3 linked regions of the Lytechinus pictus genome follow. The protein of the gene in region 2 purifies or fractionates together with the protein of the main gene of each other region. This does not show direct contact. Links are inferred from orthologs where the notes say so. Each region holds a gene or a part of one and is shown on either strand. Other genes may lie near its edges.

Evidence for each region. Proteins that work in one complex are often made in the same cells at the same time.
Region 1: the proteins of small ribosomal subunit protein RACK1-like (region 2) and vigilin-like purify together in Homo sapiens (affinity purification with mass spectrometry; 3 studies listed by BioGRID and IntAct, with this or other methods). This does not show direct contact. The link is inferred for Lytechinus pictus from reciprocal best matches to the Homo sapiens genes RACK1 and HDLBP.
Region 3: the proteins of small ribosomal subunit protein RACK1-like (region 2) and probable helicase with zinc finger domain purify together in Homo sapiens (affinity purification with mass spectrometry; 3 studies listed by BioGRID and IntAct, counting the BioPlex papers as one, with this or other methods). This does not show direct contact. The link is inferred for Lytechinus pictus from reciprocal best matches to the Homo sapiens genes RACK1 and HELZ.

Annotation. Positions count from the first base shown.
Region 1 is NC_087258.1:23,558,833-23,565,810, reverse strand, and holds the start of vigilin-like, read right to left. Parts: upstream 3,047-6,978; 5' UTR 2,861-3,046; intron 640-2,860; 5' UTR 606-639; coding exon 384-605; intron 1-383. UniProt on the Homo sapiens protein: Appears to play a role in cell sterol metabolism. It may function to protect cells from over-accumulation of cholesterol.
Region 2 is NC_087262.1:2,288,702-2,295,806, reverse strand, and holds the start of small ribosomal subunit protein RACK1-like, read left to right. Parts: upstream 1-4,080; 5' UTR 4,081-4,089; coding exon 4,090-4,295; intron 4,296-5,049; coding exon 5,050-5,197; intron 5,198-6,517; coding exon 6,518-6,613; intron 6,614-6,958; exon of another isoform or gene 6,959-7,054; intron 7,055-7,105. UniProt on the Homo sapiens protein: Scaffolding protein involved in the recruitment, assembly and/or regulation of a variety of signaling molecules. Interacts with a wide variety of proteins and plays a role in many cellular processes.
Region 3 is NC_087254.1:29,654,616-29,662,575, forward strand, and holds the start of probable helicase with zinc finger domain, read right to left. Parts: upstream 3,047-7,960; 5' UTR 2,610-3,046; intron 1-2,609. UniProt on the Homo sapiens protein: May act as a helicase that plays a role in RNA metabolism in multiple tissues and organs within the developing embryo.

The DNA.
Region 1 (6,978 bases), on a different chromosome or scaffold from region 2:
GGCCCACATAAGGATCAAACAAAACAATTTCTTACAGATACATGAAAACAGAACTACTCAAAATATGAAACAATCAACAATACTTGAGACTGGTGAATGTTAAAAATTACGATTTCTGTTTCAAACACACCGTACACGGTTTTCTCAATGGCAGAAAGCGGTCTCCAGATGTACATGACACATAAAGGATATCAGGATCATTTCATTTCATATCAGAAATATCTTTCCCCAACACTGAGACAGCCATAGTCAAAGTGCACAAATCTGTAGTACATGTAGATAACATGTCATGGAGTAGGCTACATGTGTCCTGCCTATCACCAGTTAGAAAATTGTCACTTTTAATAAGTAAAAGGGTACAGGCAAGTGTTCAAATGTATTACCTGAGTAACTATGGAAGACTTGACTGCCATTCTGGCATAGGACGGCCCGCGTCCACTTGGGCCTCCCTTTGGCCCGCCGCCCATGGCGGCGCTCTCCATGGGGGGAAAAGCTTCATCGTAGGTGGGAGGTTCGTAGGCTTCTTCTTCGATGTTGAAGCCATTGGGGTCAACGGCTGGAGCCGGGGCACTGCCGCCAGGCAAATATTGAGGATCCGTACTCATGGTCTAGGGTCGTGATCAAAGTCAGACAGCACCACTATAGTTGAAGAAAGAAAAAAAAAGTTGGAAACAAACAATGAATGTGTATCTTCTAGCATTGTATAAGCATTCATCGTAAAAGTCCACAGGGGGCCTGAAGGGTCTATATTGTAGAACTTTGCAGAGAACAATGATTTCAAGATTTTTTTTTTTTTTAATCTTTTTTTTCACCCTTTCGGTTTTATAGTACATGTAATTAATGTTGATTATATTTTTTTGTCATTCGTGTTAAAATGTGTATTTCCCCTTTTCATGCTCAATGATTATGTGGTACTCAGTTTTTATTACATCATACATTTCACAATATCACCTATTCAGTTTTTGTAAAGGTGGCAGCACTAACAAGGCTTTGCCTTTCTAGTTGCCTCCTCATTCATTTATAAATTATGAATACTCTTTTTTTCAAACATTTTCCAGATTTTATCATTGCATTATGTTTACGATTTTCCCACGTAATGAATGTTAACTTTGTATGTACCTTGTTTTGTTGTTTTTTAGGATGAATGGAATAAATGCTATCATTTTTATCAATCAAATATCAAAAGTGGCCACCATAATGGTAGATCTATGTCTGCTTTAATTACGAAGACCTTACTGTGCAATCATGCAATCTAATCTGAAAAAAAGGACCACAACGAAGATCAACACCGATAGGCAGATATGTATATGGATGTGTGGCAGTAAGGTGGTCGGGGGTATCAGTATAGTAGTTTGAGCAGACGATATAAATAGCAGACGACATAAATAGCAGACGACACCACTCCATACGCGAGTCACCTGACCCACCGGCCGGAATACGGACACAATATAGATCTGCACTCAGTACCACTGCACTACACACAACACACAATCCAAGAAGCCATTCTAGACTCAACCCCCGGACGGTACGGACTTCGCTTTACGAGTGAGTGTGCCTGAGAGACAGAGTGATAAGGTAGGACCATTTATCAATAGCTTATATATGAGTGTGTGACTGTTTGTTTAAGGGCCCCTCCACAATAGCAGTGTATTATTATTGATTGGACAAAGACTCTTCATCTGAGTGGAATACCAAGCTTGTTTTTGTCAATTTCTCAGGAATTAAAGATTTTCTACAAGAATCGTTTGACACACATCTTTTCATTTATTTACAATGATAAAATTATATTTTACCACAAATCAGGTTTACATACAAGGGTAACAAGTTACACAAAGTGAAAGTACATTTAACTTAGGTGTCGTGGCTGCAGAATTAATATTTTAGAAGTTTTATTCATTTTTAAATTTTAATGTCTTTCTTTATATTTTTCGGGGCAACAAACTTTATAGGTTTATATGGTGGTGGCCGAAACGGGCCACCACCAAAAAAAAATAATGTGGAGCCTTGGTTTTGGCTTTCCGTTCAACTTTAATATTCTGTTGCGGTGTGCCATCATTGTATGACAGTAGCATTTTTAGATCGAGATACCAGCGAAACCCCGGCCCTCGAATATACTTCACAATTTTGCCTACGTTCTTACCGTTAATTCAAATTCGGTAGCTATTACTTGAATTATGTTTTAAGCAAACAATTAAAAAAAATTGTGCAAGGTCAGACTTGACATTATGTAGCATGCCATTGGCCCAGCATGGCTCTGCCTCTGGCAATCATTTGATGAAACATTTCAAGCTTCAATCCGAGTTCTGTGGCCCACCATTAGTTTTTTCAGGTGCAATTTGCCTATATTACTACTATTAGTACTTTTCTCTAAATTTTACACACACTACCCTTCCTTTATCTTTTCGTGACTTCTCGCTCACTTTGGCATAGGCCTACACTTTATTAATCAATTCATGACTCACTCACCATGCTCACTCTTGACTCAACTTTTCACTCTTGCACGACTCAGTCTCAGTCACTTAAGTTAAACTTAAGGATCTATTTAATATTATTCGCTCCTTTAATAAAAAAAAAACTCTTAATTTACTATTAATGAAAGAAGTTTGGAGAAAATATCTGACAAACGACAATGTTCCTTAACTGATTGACTAATTAAAGGCATGCATGAAAATGTGTCAACGTGTCAACTCGGCTTTACAAATACAAGTCGTTTTCTGAACAGTCGATGTGCTGGCGCGGAGCCGCCGACCGTGACTGAGTCTGAGGATGCGCAAGGCACCCGGCCGATTTGACTCGCGACAACACGTAAATATGACAAAATCTGGAGGATAAAAACACAGAAAAATACGTGATAGCTTACACTGAAGTGGTCACTGTTTGCCGGGTTATCCGTCCTAGTGTTTACTTCTTCGTTTTGTTTCCGCCACTTTCTGTTATTTTCAGTTTTCACTGAAAATATAAAAAGTTTCTTTCCCCGAATGAAACAAGACGTCAAATCCTGTGCACGTACAAGGAAAGCAACTGCCTACGTAGCTAGCGGAAGTGGGAAGGAAATGACCTTTCTGCCAATTTCGTGTATCAAGATGGTTCATTGGCCAATAGTTGACACATTGCTAAATTTTATCCAATGAGATCGTGTCTTAGGAAATGACGAAATGCACCTGTCATACCGAACCAATTTGTGATTAAATATACTAGATAATCAGCGCGGATTCTGCGAGATCTATGTCAAGTTCAAAGTTATTAAGAAAACATAGCTTATTGAGAAATCAATATGTTTTTAACTTATGATATCTGATTTCTCGGAGTAAATCTTGATGATCGAGAAAATTCAAAACATATTGATATATTAGTACTGTATAGGCCATATATGCAGCTATTTGCAGCAATTATATCACAAATTCTAGTCTATTTCAAAAGAATAATTCTCAGAATAATAAAATGTGTGTGTTGAAAATAAATGATAAAACAATTTAAGTCAATGCATTTAACAATGTTGGAATGAATCTAAAATGTATTATGTTTTACTTCCAAAAGGGTATTTCATTTTGAAAAAGGGCACATTTCATTTTGAAAAAAAAGGGTATTTTTTCTACGGGGATTTTTTTTTTTAAAGGACAAGTCCACCCCGACAAAAAGTTGATTTGAATAAAAAGAGAAAAATCCAACAAGAATAACACTGAAAATTTCATCAAAATCGGATGTAAAATAAGAAAGTTATGACATTTTAAAGTTTCGCTTAATTTTGCAAAACAGTTATATGCACATCCCGGTCGGTATGCAAATGAGGAGACTGGTGATGTCATCCACTCACTATTTCTTTTGTATTTTATTATATGAAATATGAAATATTCTAATTTTCTCCTCATTGTCAAGGGAAACAACGATTGATTCCTCCCTGAACATGTGGAATTAGCATTGTTTAATACTATATGATTTAGTCAACTTGGTCCTTATATTGTCAAATCTGTAAAAAATGAAATATTGTATAATTCAAACAATAAAAAACAAAAGAAATAGTGAGTGGTGGACATCATCTTCTGACTCATTCGCATGATACTGAGTTGTACATATTACTGTTTTGTGAAAAATAAGCGAAACTTTAAAATGTCATAACTTTCTTATTTTACATCCGATTTTGATGAAATTTTCAGTGTTATGCTAGTTTGATTTTTCTCTATTTATTCAAATCAACATTTTTCCGGGGTGGACTTGACCTTTAAGGGGAGCAATTGCCCCTGCCCCCTCGGTTCCGCCGCCCCTGCTTCGTTGTTTAAAATGTTAAACATCTGCATATAAGTGTAAAGTGCATGTAGTAAACAGCATTGCATAAAATTATAAACAACGGGTTTTTTTTCTGTAAATGAATAAAGCAATAATAAGATTTGTGTCCGCCCTCGGTAAAGGACAAACGAACCAAGCAATTACCATATGTTGAAATGTTGAATAGCATCATGGATCCACGGGGCAACCGGTAAATATCTTGATATGTTCGTTGCCCTAATTGGTCACCTTAGTCTGATGTTTAATTTGTAGGCATTTATGGTCAAATACACTATGACCAATCAGAGGAAAATATTATCCGACATTCTAAAGAGAGGTTTATGAAACATAGTTGATGCGGCGGTTATAGCTATTATTTATTTCACTTTTGCCTTTCCTAGGCAAGCCGGACTTGTACAAAAATATCCTACATTTATTATTCTTTTTGTGTACTATAATGTGAATATTATTATCATTATTATTTTTATATTTTTTATTTTATTTTATTTATCTTTTATTATTATTGTTTTTTTTTGGGGGGGTGGCTTTTTCAGTGCCGAATCATTATTTCATATCATTTGGTTTATTCCATTTCCAACTCCTAAAATTTGTTCTTTGAGTACTTGAAATTCCTTCATATGGGAGTGAAAAACTTTTTTTTTCAAGATTTTTGTGGAGACAAAAGAAGAAGAAGATGAAGAAGAAGAAGAAGAAGAAGAAGATTAGGCAATATACGATCGAAGATCGAATACTCTTTGAAAATGTCTTTTTATCGAAAAGCACACGGCCAACACATCGTCAGACATAGATTATTTCCCATTACCCCAGTTATGTATGATAATGATCAATGAGTTCAGTCTATACTTCATATTTTTCCGTCAGTCTTTCATGGAAGATTTCATTTCCAAATCAATTTAAAAAAACAACCACAAATCAATATAGATATTTACAAACTTTGAGGTTTAAGGGAGAAAAAACGGCATCAGGAAAAAACCCCTTTAATTAACACAAGAAAGAAGGAAAAAAATACTTTACTAAAGCATAAGAACATTTAACTGCAAAACGCCAATGTTTGACTTGTATACAATAACGTACTTCAATGTCACGGAAAAGGAAACAACCACTAATAGCAAAAACATCAAATTTTAAATGAAATATACACACAAACAAGAGGGGGGGGGGGTAATAAATAGAAAGTCAAAAGATGATCATTATATTCTTTAGAAGAATTATTGTGGTGAAGTTGTACGAGGTTGAATCTAATAAAATCTACAAAATAGGACCAGTATAACGCAGTTTGTTTATCTCTATCATCCACCAATTACATTTCATGACGAGATAAACATTATTGAGACAGCGTATGTGAATTAATAATATAGGGTATTTATATTGCGCACATATCCACCTTGTTAGGTGCTCAAGGCGCTCCTATATTACCCGGCTAAGCTAGGCGTTCATAGCGCACACAGCTTTTTAAGGAATTACTTCCTACCGGTACCCATTTACCTCACCTGGGTTGAGTGCAGCACATTGTGGATCAGTTTCTTGCCGAAGGAAATTACGCCATGGCTGGGATTCGAACCCACGACCCTCTGTTTCAAAGTCCGAAGACTAATCCACTGGGCCACAACGCTCCACATTGAATTGAATTGAATCATTGCATCACAGATATAGGCCTATTTGAAATTATCAATGTATCACATGTATTGTGAGAGTTCTTATACATTTGAATAGTACTTGATTTAGTAATGATTTTAATTATTCTGTAATTGTATAATAGCCCTCGGTTGCCAAAATCTGTTATATGAACTTAAAGAAATGCATTGTATAATATTTCATACTTTAAGCTATACGTAAAAACGCTGTATAAGATTATATAAAACGCTGTTTATTTTATGAATCTTACAATATATGCCTATAGTTGTTTAACAGTTTAAACAACCGTGTAGTTTTTCAGTAATTTATTTATTTTTCATTTTTAGATAATAAACATAACAACAAACACATACATTCATAATATTCAAAACAGAATAAACGTCATAATAGATACTTCAGTTACAAATGATATTATACAAATTTGATCGATAAGTCGACGGTAGTTTCAAACACACTTTGATAATGAAATAATTGAAAATTACAGGTCGTATGAAAATGAAAATAAAAATGAGGGACTTATTAAAAAGCATAGCTTGTATTGGTAAGCCCCTCTGGAAACAGTATTAATTTATTGAAGATTAAATATAAATAGTACGTTTAAGATTTTAATAACTTGTTTAAAAATCATAAACAACCAACAATGTAGGTTCATAATTATAGTTAACCGCGGCGTATACTGTATAAAAATCTCATACAGCGTTTTTATACTCAATATGTTTTGATTTTTTTTCTTGATATGTTATTCATATGTTCATTCGTTACTTAGATACACATCCTTTTCATGATTACAAAAACTGCTCGGAATTTTTTGTCATGTCTTCCCAATGATTATAGGAAACTTTTTGCATTTTAAGAGGAAATTGAAAGAATATCTTTCACTTGAGAGTTAAAGAGATGCAAATAATATGTTATACGGTTGATTTAGCCTGAATACTGACCACGTTCTTTTCTCTTCTCTACCAAGTATTATTATTTATTTTACATAGTTTGATTGAAGTTTCGATATGTCCTTTCTTCTATTATTTCTTTTTTTTTTTCTCTCTTCCTTCTATTCTCCTC
Region 2 (7,105 bases):
GGGAGACACGACCCCCCCCCCCCCGCTGCCTATGGGGGGACGTTATTACCTTTTTTGGGGGCTAAATTTTTTTTTCGGTCCCCCTTTGATAACCTTTTTTTGTCAAAAATTTTGGTGCCCTCCCCTAAATTTTTTTGATTGCCGCCGCTAATAGTGCCCTCCCCCCTTTGGAAAATCCTGGACCCTCCCTTGCCTAGATATAGATGTTTAAAGAATTTATTATTTTGAAAGTCAGTGCCCCCGCCCCCCATGCTTTAGTTATCATGGCATAAAACTTATGTCATATCTAATCCTTATATCAGCAAGAGGTCAGAGCATACTATCCGTCACCAAACGACTGCATTTGAGCCATTTTTTTTCTCTTTTCTCTTCTTTCTATTTTTTGTTGTTATTTAATCATTGTTTATTTGGATAAGCTCGGATCCGAGACTAACTGGGACGGTGAACGCACTTTCGTTCGAGTTGTGTATTTGGGTAACAATAGGCCGAGGCGAGAAAGGACACGCCCACAATCCCTCGTTCAGTGCCGAGCTCTGTGCATACGTGTCGACGAAATTTCAAAATGAAATTTGTACACAAATCTGTCACAATTCGGACCCACTTTAGCCTCAGATTAACAGATATTTAGATCTCTTTGGAACACTAAAAGTCATTCACTTGGGTTTTTTAATATGCTGATTCAGGTGAGGTACTTTTCAATGCCTTTAAACATAGATTTAAAAAATTAGATTTTCGTTTTGGGATCCCTACTTAAGTCTTAACGTCTTGAGTAAGCATAAGACTCTTAATAAGACATTCATAGTCATAGATCTCTAAAACTAAAAGTACTTGCAGTTTTTTTAGGACCAAAACAAAAATATAATCATTGAATCAAATAAAAATCATGTTTATCTGTAGACGTAGTACAAATGTTGAACATTAATGTTATAAAAAAATTAGGGTAGGCCTAAACGGAATTTGTTTACTTAACAGAAGCTTGTGTTTTGCCAAAAATTGGACGCAGTTTCCAAATCTTAGAAGCGTAGAGTTGTGCGCCGCGATCAATATCGGCGATATAAATCGCACACTTGACTCCATAATAATTGCTTACATGTAATTGCTGATAAAACAATTTATTTTAGCTGCGCAAATGCCGATTTTAATTGTTATTACTATCAATAATTTGATATAGAAATCGGTAAAGGAAATTTACTTACCAATACAATCAGTAGAGGCGCACGGCCAATATGGGAGACTCTCCAATAGGGGAGACAATCTCCCACATTGGAGACTTGCTTTGCAAAAGGACAAAAGAAACAACACCAACAAAAGCATGATTTATTTCCACCCAAAATTTTGTCTCACTGAGGTCAGAAGCCCATTTGTTTTGTGTGTGATTGACAACAAAAATCCTTATCAAAACAAAAGTAGACGGTGAATATTTAAAGAATATTTAAAGTAGACGGTGAAAAGGGGTAATTTTTCATGAGGAATCTGCTTATCACATTTTTATTTGCCGCCAAGGTAATCCTTTTGCAGCAAATGTAAACAAAGGAAATTGGACTCCAAAACTGGAGACTGTCTCTGAAATTGGATACCCAAATTCTTTACAAAAGTCTCTGATATTGGAGATAATCTCCCACATTGGAGACAGTCTCCAATATTGGCCGTGCGCCTCTACTGACAATAGACCTCTTTCGGCTCTGAACACTGGACGTTTTCGCTTAGACAGCTGGAAGCCGTCTGATCGAGGAGTTTATTAACTTTTTTTTTTTTTTTCTTAGGGAAATCCATCTTTGTTTACATGTCTCTCTTATGCATATATGGGAGGGGATTCAAGACTCCAATGATGAAGAAGTATGTGTCACTTTAAAAAAAAAAGACATCATCATGGAGTCCTCAAGACAAGATTTTACCCCTGGATTTTTTTTGAGCAGCAACTTGGATCTACTGTACACTATATGTGCAGTTCAATAGCAGGTATGTTCATGTATCTCATGCATGCAAGTCCCCTGCCAGTGCATGGCCTGTAGTTATGGGGAGAGAGTTGAAGTCATTTTCGTCCGATATTTGGAACCGTCCATTTGGGGACTTTACTCTACCTGCTATTGAACTGCACACACAGTATATTGGGCCCCAAATTAAAATGCTTTACACCCAGCTGAGCTATTATTTTCAGATCATCGACTTTGTGGAATACCCGGTATGTCAACACTACAGGATTTTTTTTTTTTTTGGGGGGGGGGGCTTCTATGGTTAGCAGAAAAACTGGTATGAAAGATATCTCAATACACTGAACAGATTATTTTACAAAAAAAAGAGAAATATTCTGCATGTCATCACAGTCATATTAAAAGGAAAACTTCTTGATTTATGACCATGCCTAAATGGACTGACTGGCCTTTACCTGTAAACGAATCGGACAATCTCAGCCAGTGAAACCATTACTCTCAGCTAATCACATGACCAGTCACATGGCAGCAGTACTGTGTGTGCGCGTGCACACACAATATTGCACACACTTAACAAGCTAAACGTGCATGGCCGGGCGGCTAGCTATAGGATGCATATCGTCTCGATCCCTCGCACACAAGGCCATGAGTCATGAGTTCCGACTTCTGATCATACACATCAGTCAAAATCAACATGGGGAAAGAATGGAAATAAGGTAGGGATGCTTGGCCTTTGACCTGTCCCCTCGACCATTACACTAGTTGGATGGATTGCTTTTTAAAAACAGTTTCATGACTTTAACTGCGATGACAGATGACACCTCAAATCTTATCAAACCATGGGGGGGGGGGGGTTATTTACCGGGCTCGAGGTATGCAAAGTGGAACCCGACCCGTAATGTTCCGAGCCGGACAATGTCAACTCGTTTGGTAAACAATCCGAGCTACAGGACTAGAAATCAATTCTGACACTTGATCCCAAAGGAAAGGTAAAAAATGAGTATTTCCATTGGATTTGCCATTATCAATACTACAAAATCCTGCTAGTTTACAAAAATATGGTACATTTATTCACAAGATACAAGACTTTGAAACTCCTTTTTTAAGGCCACATCAAAATTATAGTAGTAACAAAATGTAAACTAAATAGGTTAATTGTAGCATTTTAGTCTCCTTAATTTGTTACCAAAACCAATAAATTTGGATAACGGGACCATATGTCAGAAATGCGTTGAACTTTGATTTTTCCCTCAAAACCATGACTATTTTGGGCTGTGTGAATGTGAAATTTGTGAAAAGGGCGAAATTTTTTGCTCTGTGTGCAGTCACCCTAATAATATCATATTTCGCCCTAGACAGGAATAACCATCGTTTCTGGGGATCTATTTAACAATTTCTGACATTTTACTATCATCCTCATTCGCCGACGGTTAGCCAGGAGGCTCCTGGAGATTAATGTAATATCACTGACGTGCTTAATCTCCACGGAGCCAGGGATGGGATGCCATTGCTCTACACAAATCAAGTATTTTGGCAACAATAAAGTTGCTCCAAAATACCGGTTTTCTTTAGGGTTTTGAACCCAAACTTATGTAAATGGGCTACAATACAAATTGGACCCTTTTATCACTAAAGGGTCATATTTCTAAGCAATATTAAACATTAAAAGATATATGGAAAATATTAAAAGTAGAGGAGCGTTTACTCACAGTCTGTTGTCGCCATCTGCCATCTGTGTTATTGTAGCCTAGCTACAAGACTTGTATAGAGGGTGACAATATCATGAGCAGTGTTAACTTAGATTAACAAATATCATGAATCTTACCATAAAAATACTTGCATCGGCTGATAAGATTCATGATATTCAAATTTGAATTGACAGCTTATTTCATTTTTTTCTCACCTGCGTCTCAGAGTGAGACTATAAGCGCCGTTTTTCCGACGGCGGCGTCAACATTGCGCAACACTGCCTTCCATTACAATAGAAAGATTTCAAGGTACATGAAAACATTGGTAAATTCCCCCCCCTCCCAAAAAAAAAAATAAAACACCCAAAATATTGTGGGTTAAAGTATGAGTTAGGGTGGTCCTTCAGAGAAGGTAATACAGTAGTTATCATTTCAGATAGATTTCATGTTTATCAGAAATTTTTGTCTAAATGCACTTTCCACAATCTTTTTTTTGTTCGACAGACAAGACCGTGATTGTTTGGGATTTGACACGTAATGACGTCAGCTATGGTGTACCCAAGAGGAGTTTGAAAGGGCATAATCACTTTGTATCCGATGTCGTCACGTCTTCTGATGGACAGTTTGCCTTGACCGGATCATGGGATAAGACACTCCGATTGTGGGATATTGGAACGTAAGTTTGAATGTAAAACCAGATATTTTTCAAACTGGGCGGATTCCAAGAACATTTGATAAGTAAACAATACTCTTTTATCAATTCCCAAGGATAATATGTGACCTACCACCCCAAAACCACCAATAAGTCGCCAGGTAAGGTTCTCTGTAAAAAGCCAAAATAGTAAATTGGTCTTCAAAACCAAAAATTATAAAAACAGCTTATCTGAAAGAGCAATTCTTCTTCATACCGTGAAAATTTGAAGTCATTAAGTTGAATAAAAGATACAAGAGTTTCTTGGACACTACTTTTACAGACTGCTTGGAAGTTTCCCTGAGATTATGCTCATTTGATTTTTCTCATTTTTCTGGGGTGGACTTGACCTTTGAATATATGCCGGTTGTGTGAACAATCTGAAAACGAGTTTGAACAAAAAATGTCTGTCCCATATGTGCTTATCTGTGTTGGTGATCCTCAGCATGGTAATTTTTCCACCTTTGATGTCATGATTTTAATGCTTAGATGTATGTAAATAAAACGGATCTAGATCTACCAAGATATGGTACAATACTTCAATTAATTTTGATAATGATATGAAAGACTTTCTCATGAGATAATTCTTTCCTGCAACTGTTGTAATACCTCACATTCTCACTGACATTTTCATTTAAGAATATTGCTTATGAAACTTGAGAGGGGGGGGGGGGAGAGAGACTGTAGCTGTTTGTCTGTGATCAACCAAAATCTTATGTACATTTGAAACCCCTTACAGTGGCAAGACCACCCGTACGTTTAATGGTCACACCAAGGATGTCCTGAGTGTTGCCTTCTCTGCTGACAATCGTCAGATTGTATCCGGTTCTAGGGATCGCACCATCAAGCTCTGGAATACCCTTGGAGTGTGCAAGTACACCATCCAGGTAAGTCCAGCTTTCAAATAATCTGGTGGGTGTGTCATAAACACTTACGAGAGTAAATAATCAGCATTTTAGCATGACAGAAAGTCCCACTGAACTCTTTGTGAAACATGCCCCAGTTTGTAGTTAGCTCATGTCACAAAAGACTTCTAATATCCATAGATATCCATGGAGAAATCATTTTATGCACTTACATTATCAGCACTCGCAAAGTAACCGAAGTACCTCATAAATGTAGAGTTTTTTTTAAATTACCATGGAATGTACTGGATGAACAAGGTTACTCCAATCATTACAACCATCTTTCAGCTACATGTACGAGCACTAGAGACAAGCAATTCTAGTCACCCACATTATACGATCAATGAGGCTGTATGTGTGCAATCTACTTTGCATCAATCAAATTTGCTTTGTCAGGCATCCTATAAGACCACGGTCAGATTGTGTATGCATATCTGCTTTTAGAGGCGTTAGTTGCTGGGAATGATAAACCCTAAAAGGCCCGGGGGGGCCTACATTTTTCACGGTAAATCTGCCGCGTGAAATTTTTAAACCGCCCTGCTCGCTGACTTTTTACTTTCATATCTCGCACAACTTTTGAGACCAAATTTGCGGTGCCCGGGTACGCAGTTACAAAATTACGCAACATTATGTAAGTGCATGTCAGACCAAAAACTGCTCAAAAACATGAATTTATGTACAAATCCAATGCAAATTGTGTATTTAGCCAAAATTCATAAATGTATCATTTCTTTGTTTACTGATTAATAGTTTGTCTTGTTTATGGTCAGAATTAAGTCTGCAACAATTTCCATTAAAAAAACACTAACAAAAAGTCAAAAAACAAAGAAATACATAAGAAATTTTAAAAACAATAAAATAAGAAAAAAATTGCGATACCAATTTTTTTTTAAACATACGATCGAGATCCTACAAAGAATCTGAATAAAAACTTAGCAGTTTTGAGGCCGTATGATAATTGATTAGAGCAAATGTTTTATTTCATGCATGAATGAGCATAATTAATTCATTAAATGAGAATTACAGCCTTGTAGATTTTATTGCACACTACCACTTAGCAAATTTTTGCGGTGCTCGCGCGTTCGAAGGCCCCCTGGCTGTGAGAGGGTCCAAATAACCTGGCTCTTTTAGGGTTAAATGACTCTTGATTGTGCCAATGGTGTGCTAGGCAATTTTATAGTAAAAACCGCTAGATACATGTAATTGTTGAATTTCCCCTAACATTGTACAGTAAGTTTTTAAAAAATGATGCTAATAAGAATGTATGATAGTTGAGCTCACTGTTTGATTTTGGTTTTACAGGACGACTGCCACTCCAATTGGGTATCATGCGTCAGGTTCTCACCGAATGCTTCGAACCCTATCATTGTCTCTGGAGGCTGGGACAGGGTCGTCAAGGTAAGACTAACCAATCTCACTCTTTACCTTATGATTAAGTCTTTTTAGAACTGTTTTTAGGAAGAATATCCTTTTCAGGGTCATTTTCTTTCAGGATCATGTGGCACATCATTGTTGGTAAAAACACCATGATGGTAAGATGATTGGATTCTGTTCCAACTCTAAGATATTACCATAACTAGAATTTATGTTTGAGGATGTGGAAGGATGAAAATGTCATTCTTTGAAAAAGTGTCACTGCTGACCATATTCAGTAGTGATTTTGAGTAAATTTGAACAACTGGAGGGAAAGTGATGGTTGTTCTATGTAGGCTGAATGAACCAAAAGAATTGGATCATGTGGGTGGTGCCCATTGAGGCGTTCCTAAAGCTACTGTTCCTGTGTAGTCTTGGGGCTGTAATGGGCATAGAGAGAATGGTGTCTGTCTGCATGCTACTACTTTATGTCCTGGGGTCCTCGGGAGTATCGTGTAGTAGTAGCGCGTGATACAT
Region 3 (7,960 bases), on a different chromosome or scaffold from region 2:
TTAAAAAATGATTAAAATATCACTTTTGTGACCAAAATTACTAATTTCCATACAGTTGCTATTTATTTTTAATTAGTAACTTGAGAATGAATTTTGTATTCACTAGAGCGCTCAAAACCTTGAATTTTTGGGCATATTTTTGTGGAAAATAATATGGCAAGAAAATTTTCATTTTTTTATCTCTATTTTTAATTAAGAAAAAAATAATTAAAAGAATCAAATTTACTTAAGGGCCAAGTTCTATGACGAATAGGTGTAATGGAAACTGTCAGTGTAAAAAAATCAAGCATTTGTCCCAAGGAAAAAGAGAAAATAAGCCAAACATTGCCATCCTTATTTTGCCACACATGGAGATATAACTGAGAACAAGGTTATATCATAACCTTGTTCATTGAATGAGTGGCCACTAATAGAACTTCAGAATGTCCCACCATAATCCTGAATTACATGTAATGGAGAGAAAAAAGAAAACACAGCTAGGTTAATATCTGAATAAAATCATGATTGAGATAATTATTCATGAAACATGTATTCTTGACAATCGATTGATATATTACTAAAATGACTAGAATAAAGTAATCAAATCTACTGCAGAGTTTGTTTTAATGATCATCAATTTATTATTTTCCTTGGAATTCCGGGACTTTCCTCCACCTCCCCACTGTCCCTGGGCCGAGAGTGCCCGCAGTCCTGCATAACGTTACAAGCGCACTTTGCACAATCACAGCTGCACAGCTCAGAATACGCACAGTGCGCGAAAATGACACAAAATTGCACTTGTCTTCATAAATTTGTGGTTAATTCTTGCAGCTATAGACAGCACATCTATCTCTGCCACCCGTAATTAAGAAGAAAAGTGATTGTTAGACTTAGACTCTGGAACAAATATGAAATATTACTGGAAGTTAGCAAAATGTTGGCTGCGGGCGTCCATCATATTTTGAAACACTATGGAAATCGTACACGTTATTGTTGGCTGCTTGCATTCGCATGGTCGCATCCGGACAATAGCGGCGCTATCGCTCCCTTTTTGATCCCATGATCCTTTGCGTGAATCTATTTGCGATAAAGGTATAGTCTCTATGCCAGCTACATAGGATGGGGGGTCGGGTGTCCAGACACTTTATATTTTTGAAGCCTTCTTTTTGGTCTTTGGTTTACACTAAGAATATGAATTCAATCTTTGTAGTCATCTTCTATTTTGTTCTTTAGAATATTTCCTAACATTTTGTACTAAAAATTGCTGAAACTTCGCTTGTAATTTTTCCAAACGACTTTCTAAAATTGATCCTCCGGACACACAACAACTGGGTATACATCTCATGCCCCCCCAAAAAGGAGTTAATATTCATATCAAAATGTAACCCAGGGAGCACGGGCGGGAGCCCAGGGGCTTACCGTGTATTTGACCATACTCACGGGACAAGGGTGATTTATGGTCTAAATATTTATAAACGAAAAGTTCTCTCCTTCTACCAGTCTCGATCGGCCATTTTGTTACGATTCATAACAAAAATGGCCGATCGAGACGGGGGTAGGAGAGAACTTTTCGTTTTTTGAGGTTCCAGTCTGTGCCCAGATGTCAGGAAACTGCCACTCGTTAGACCTTCATCAGTAGAGGCGCACGGTCAATATTAGAGACTGTCTCCAATGTGGGAGATTATCTCCAATATCAGAGACTTTTGTAAAGAATTTGGGTATCCAATTTCAGAGACAGTCTCCAGTTTTGGATACCAATTTCCTTTGTTTACATTTGCTGCAAAAGGATTACCTTGGCGGCAAATAAAAATGTGATAAGCAGATTCCTCATGAAAAATTACCCCTTTTCACCGTCTACTTTAAAAATTCACCATCTACTTTTGTTTTGATAAGGATTTTTGTTGTCAATCACACACAAAACGAATGGGCTTCTGACCTCAGTGAGACAAAATTTTGGGTGGAAAAAATCATGCTTTTGTTGGTGTTGTTTCTTTTGTCCTTTTGCAAATTAAGCAAGTCTCCAATGTGGGAGATTGTCTCCCCTATTGGAGAGAGTCTCCCATATTGGCCGTGCGCCTCTACTGTTCATCCATATAATCGTGGTAAGTGCATAATTTCTGTTTTCACAATTCATTTGGAGAAATATTTAGACCATAAATCACCCTTGTCCCGTGAGTATGGTCAAATACGCGGAAAGCCCCTGGGCTCCCGCCCACTGCGCGGGCGGGAGCTCCCTGGGTTAATCAAAATGGTACGCACCTTAAACAGTTAAAAGTAAAAACCAAGATAACAATGGCGAGCAGCGACCATTCATTTTAATTTCATGCACACTTCTCTCTGTCACTCTGACCAAGTTCAGCATGTTTCATGTCCGGGGTTTCATGTTATTGATGAATAGTGTAGCTCACCGACTAGTAGACAGTCATGACAGTAAACTTGCTGTTTGTGGAAATTGTGCTGTGCGTCGCAATCAATGAAACATTACGAAACAAAAAAGACCTCGACAATAAAACATTTTCAAACTTAGCATTAAAAACCCAATATTCTACAGGCATAGCCCCTTTCCACATCTTCAGTTGTATTTATGTTAGGAAAAATATCAGGGAAAATATGATGGGTTTTTAACTCACCTAAAATTGCACAAACCTTGTCAAGTATCTCCCTCATCCTCCGCCATTATGCCAACAACACGATTGTAACTAGCGCGCGCGCCTAGTCTAGCTAGCGATCGAGAATATAGCAGCGCTAGCGCAGCATGCATAGCAGCAGTGCTCGGGTATGATCAGCTGACTAGCTAGCTGACCGTCACGGCGCGCCCGTATATATTCATCTTTATTGTGATATGCCTTGAACGTGGAATACAGAATACTGTAACTCATATAGTATGGCTACAAAATTTAACAAAAATTGATAGGGCTCAATTTGATCGAATATGGCAGACCTTTTTTCATGCATTGAAAATTAAAAAAATAATCTTCTTTCTCAAATTTGGATGTATGCAGTTACTGGCCCTCACTGGCGGCCCTGGCGGCCGGGGATGAGGTGGTGCACCTGTCACTGCATGAGCAATGCTGTCCAATATCCCCATATCCAAAGTAAAAGTGAATTTATATGTGAAATATAGGCCTACAGTGACAAGATATTGAAATATCAGTATCTTGTCACTGTGAGCTTTGTATCCCTGACAAAGACGTGAGGTTTGTGTCGAAATATATATATATATATAATATAAATGTGTGAAGTTATACATGTACAACAGCTTTGGCAACTAAGTTGTTTAAATATTTTGTGAAAGAAATGGATGAAGAGAACAATTATATATATATATAATATATATATATATAAAATGTATATATATATATATATATATATATATATAGATGCATATATATATATATATATATCTCCCAGGACCAAAATCCAGTTGAAACCATGCATTAGAGCAAAACCAATTTGAAACCAGTTGCCAATTGGTTCCAGTTAAAATCAATTGGGCAACTGGAACCATGCAGTTGGCAATTCGTTTCAATTGGTTCCAGTTGAATCCAACTAGGCAACTGCCTCTCAGTTGGTTCAAGTTGTTCCAATTTTCCTATCAAAACCAGCTGAATCCAATTGGAGGCAACTGGTTTCAATCCAGTAGAAACCAATTGGAGGCAACTGGTTCCAGTTGAAACCAATTGGTTTCAACAGGAACCAGTTGGAACTTTCAGTTGGAATGAACTTAATTAATTACAAATTAATTAGCATTTGTACTAACTATTGCTTATGCCAACACAGAAGCATTGTTATATGTCTATTAATACCAATGTAAAGGTCATTAGACTCTCGTACATATATACATGTATTTATATGGAGGAGCTTCGAATATATGTATTTGTATTTGATGTAATTTGGTAACAGTTAGTGGTGTACTAATTATCTTTTAATCTGTTAAAATCCTAATCTATAATAATTTTAAACATGGTTTTCACTGCTAACTATTCTAAACATTTATCTTAAACAAATGAGGCACTAATTGAGAATGAATAGATACATTGTGGCGCAGATAATCTACTATAGATTGAAGAGCGCCAACTTAACTCCAACACCAACCAACCATTGTAAATGATGATGAACATTAATCTGTACACATTGGCAGATAATATGCAAATCAACTGGTTTCAATTGGATCCAGTTGGGTAACTGGAAAAATTTCCAATTGGAAACCAATTGGAAGTCATTTCCAGTTACCCAACTGGATCCAGTTAGGATTTCCAGTTACCCTACTACTGGTTCCAGTTAGGATTCCCAGTTTATCCAACTGGTTCCCATTAGAAGTCAGCAGTAGTACCCAACTTTCCAGTTAGAAGTCATTTCCAGTTACCAGGGGAGCGTTTCATGAAAGGACTTGTCGGACGTTTTATCCGACAAGTCCTGTTTTATCCGACAGTTGCTATAGTAACAGTGCTTCTCAACCAATCAGAATCCAGGAAAGTTGTCAGATCTGACAACTTGTCGGACAAAAATATTGATGAAACGCCCCCGTGGTTTCTGTTTCTGTTTCTGTCTGTGGTAACTCCCGTAGGAACTCGGCAGGACAGCATTGTTTGCTGGTAAACGCCAAGCTGGTATATAACCAATTACCTTGGAAACATTTTACGTCTAGGTTAATCAGTCATAGTGGCTGACGTAATAGACGACAGATATCACTCTTGGGCCTTTTTATCAAAGTGGAGACAATGGCAGAGTTAGGATTCGAACTCACAATCTTGCGATTATGATTCCAATGCTCTAACCACTGGACCACACGACCCGTGTTTCCAGTTAGGATTTCCAGTTACTCAATATATATAATATATATATATATATGGAAAAACAGAAAACATTCAGGGAAAATACTATTGGGGCATAATCACAATTATAAATATTGTCCCTTAAAAGACGTTTAGCTGGCTTCATCCAAGGGGGGGGGGGCGAAGTAGGCGTAGAAGGCGTGCATGTCTCGACCTCCCGGGACATTGCGAAAAAGGGGAAGAAATTCACCAAAAACAGAATTAAGATAAGAGGACGAAGGAAAGTAAGTGAAACCAGGAAAGTGGAATGACTGGATAATAATAATAATTATTATTATTATCATTATTGATAAAATTAATAATGATAATGATAGCAAACTTTCATGGGTCATTGTATAAAACAGAGAGTTTCGCTTGCGCTTCGCGCTCGCGCTGTCTTCAGTGAGATAAAAATTTGCTCAAGCTGGGGTTCGAAATATATTTTTACAACATATATCCCGTTTTCTGAAGTCGATACGCACAAATTATTATCCTCGCGATTTGAGCTTTCATTACATGTATTTGTTTCAGCGAGATATATATTTAGGCTTTATTTTTTCCACGAGGGAGCGTAGCGACCGAGTGGTTTGTCACAACTTTTAAATCTGAAGTTGTAAAACTTACTTTTTGGGTCATGGCGCTGCATCCTTAAAAGATGTTGAGAGCGCTAATCGCGAGCTCACAAACTTTTGGACATTTCATGTAATACAAAGGCGTAGGCTGGGGGTGCACTCTGGTGAGGCAGAGTAGTTCCGACATTGGCAAAACGAAGTTTGTACCCCTTCTGCTTTCATCAGCTGATTTTCCGAACTTTGTTCCACCTCCCAAAGATGTGCACCCCCAAAGGCGGATCCAGGGGGGCGAGGGGCCCGGGCACCCCTATTGGCGGAGCAAAAAAAATGAAAAAAGAGGGAAAGAAAGAAAAAAAAAGAAAAAGAAGGGGAAAGAAAGGAGGATAAAGAGGAAAAAATAAGAGGGAGACGAATGAATAAAAATAAGGTCAGGGAAGACTTGGAAAATGTCACTATATTAAATTTTCGCTCGCGCTTCGCGCTCGCATAGCCTGTTGATGAGATACACATCTTGCTCAATAGGCTGATATGTAGCTTAAAATATCAATTTTTGAAGTCAATATACACAACATATTTCAGCTCGGATATCGAGCTTTCATTATTTGGTTTGATTTACAAATTGATTTTTTTAAAGTGCTCTGTAATGTCAGTTTTATGTTGTTAATATCATTAGCATCTTTTTGCGCTGTGCGCTCGCATTACTAGTATTTGATTTGCCAAGTAGGCCTACATACAAAATGAGTCGTCAATGTAAGTGCCCCCCCCCCCCCCCGGGACTCCTCACAACCCACCAAAATCTTGTTTCACCTTCCAATGAGGAGAAAATTAAAATATTTAATATATCATTTAATTGAATACAAAAGAAATAGTGAGTGAGTGACGTCATCAGTCCCCTCATTTGCATACCGACCAGTATGTGCATATATAACTGTTTTTAGAAATTTAGCAAAACTTGAAAATGTCATAACTTTCCTATTTTACATCCGATTTTGATGAAATTTTCAGTATTATGCTTCTTGGATTTTTCTCTATTTGTTCAAATCAACTTTTTGTTGGGGTGGACTTGTCCTTCAAGGGTAGGGTTTTACACGCCAATACTTGTTAAGGGGTGCATTTTCAGTATATGGAAAATATGTGTTTAGGGTGCTTTTCGAGACCCCATGGTCGCGCAAGGTATCCACTCGTGAATGGAAGTGCCCCCCCCCCCCCGGGAGTAAAGACTAGACTATAATTAAAGGAAAAGAGGAAAACAAGAAGAAAAGAAAAAAATGATACAGAGAAGAAAAGGAAGAAAAAGAAAAGAAAGACAAAGAAAGAATGAAAGATCAACAGAAAAGAAAACAAAAGGAGAAAAAATGGAAAAAGAATGAGAAGGAAAGAAAGGAAATAAAATAGAAAAAAAATGGATGAAGGGAAAGAAGCTTTTCATCCTCTCAAAGAAGGCCCCAAATTCAGCCCCAAAAGCAGTGGCAAAAAATGTCATTTTTTACTGGCTGCCAACACACCACAAGACAGAAAAAGAAGCGCGGTGTCTTTGTCAGAGCATGGACCTATTAAATAGGTCCATGGTCACTATGGACCTACTGTGTGTAGTAGGTCCATGCTATGGTCCATGGTCAGAGCCAGTCACAGTACATAGTGAATCTAGTCTCACTACTTCAGACTCTCTGCATTGTGCACTATGCGAATTACGAAAACCATTTAAGGGTCTGTGCCTGCAGACTAACAGACGTAAAGCTCACGTAGCTAGCCTGCCTACGCTGCATGATTATGGGCAGCCTGAAAGACCAGAATAAATTGTAATGAATTTGTGCGCTTGATATATATAGAGTCTTTCATTTTGAGATTCTCAACATTTTCTGCATGTATATCTTTATTTTTTGTTTTTTTTCTTCTAAATTTCATTTGCACATGGCTGTTTGCAGAATTTTTTTGCGGGAGGAGCCTCGGCAGGATCGATGCATACAAATTTTATAAGAAATTTGAAAAATGATAGCGCGAAACGACTAAGCTTGCATTTAATTGGGGCGATCTTGCATTTAAAATTGCATACTTTGCATGCCTGATACTTTGGGTGAAAATTTTCATTAAAAGAATTGCCCGAAGAACTGCTTGCAATGCTTACAACTTTTTACAAGCATTATGCTTTTTTAGCAATCGGGTAAAAAAAAAATCACCAACATTTTATTTACCATTTAGCGCAGGGGCGGATCCAGCCTTCGCCAATAGGGGGGGGGGCGGAATTTTTTTTCAGCAATATTTTCCCAGATCGGCCGCTCGAAGATGATTTTTGGTTTCTTTGAAGGGGTAATCCTAATAGTCACTTTTTAGCTCTATTCTTATTAATCAACATGAATATATAATATCATAATCCTTATTTATATAATGCGAGCGAGATATATTTTGACATTTCTACGTAAAGAATGGAAAATTTCAATAAATTTTTACAATCGTGAACAAGATAGCAATACAACCGCGTAGCCAGGATTTCATTTTGGAGGGGGCAGTAAATGCACGCGAAGCGTGCCAGCACTTATCCTGAAGCTTACGGTGTTTCATAAATTAAAATGAGAAGGAGCCGTCTCTCTTGTCTCT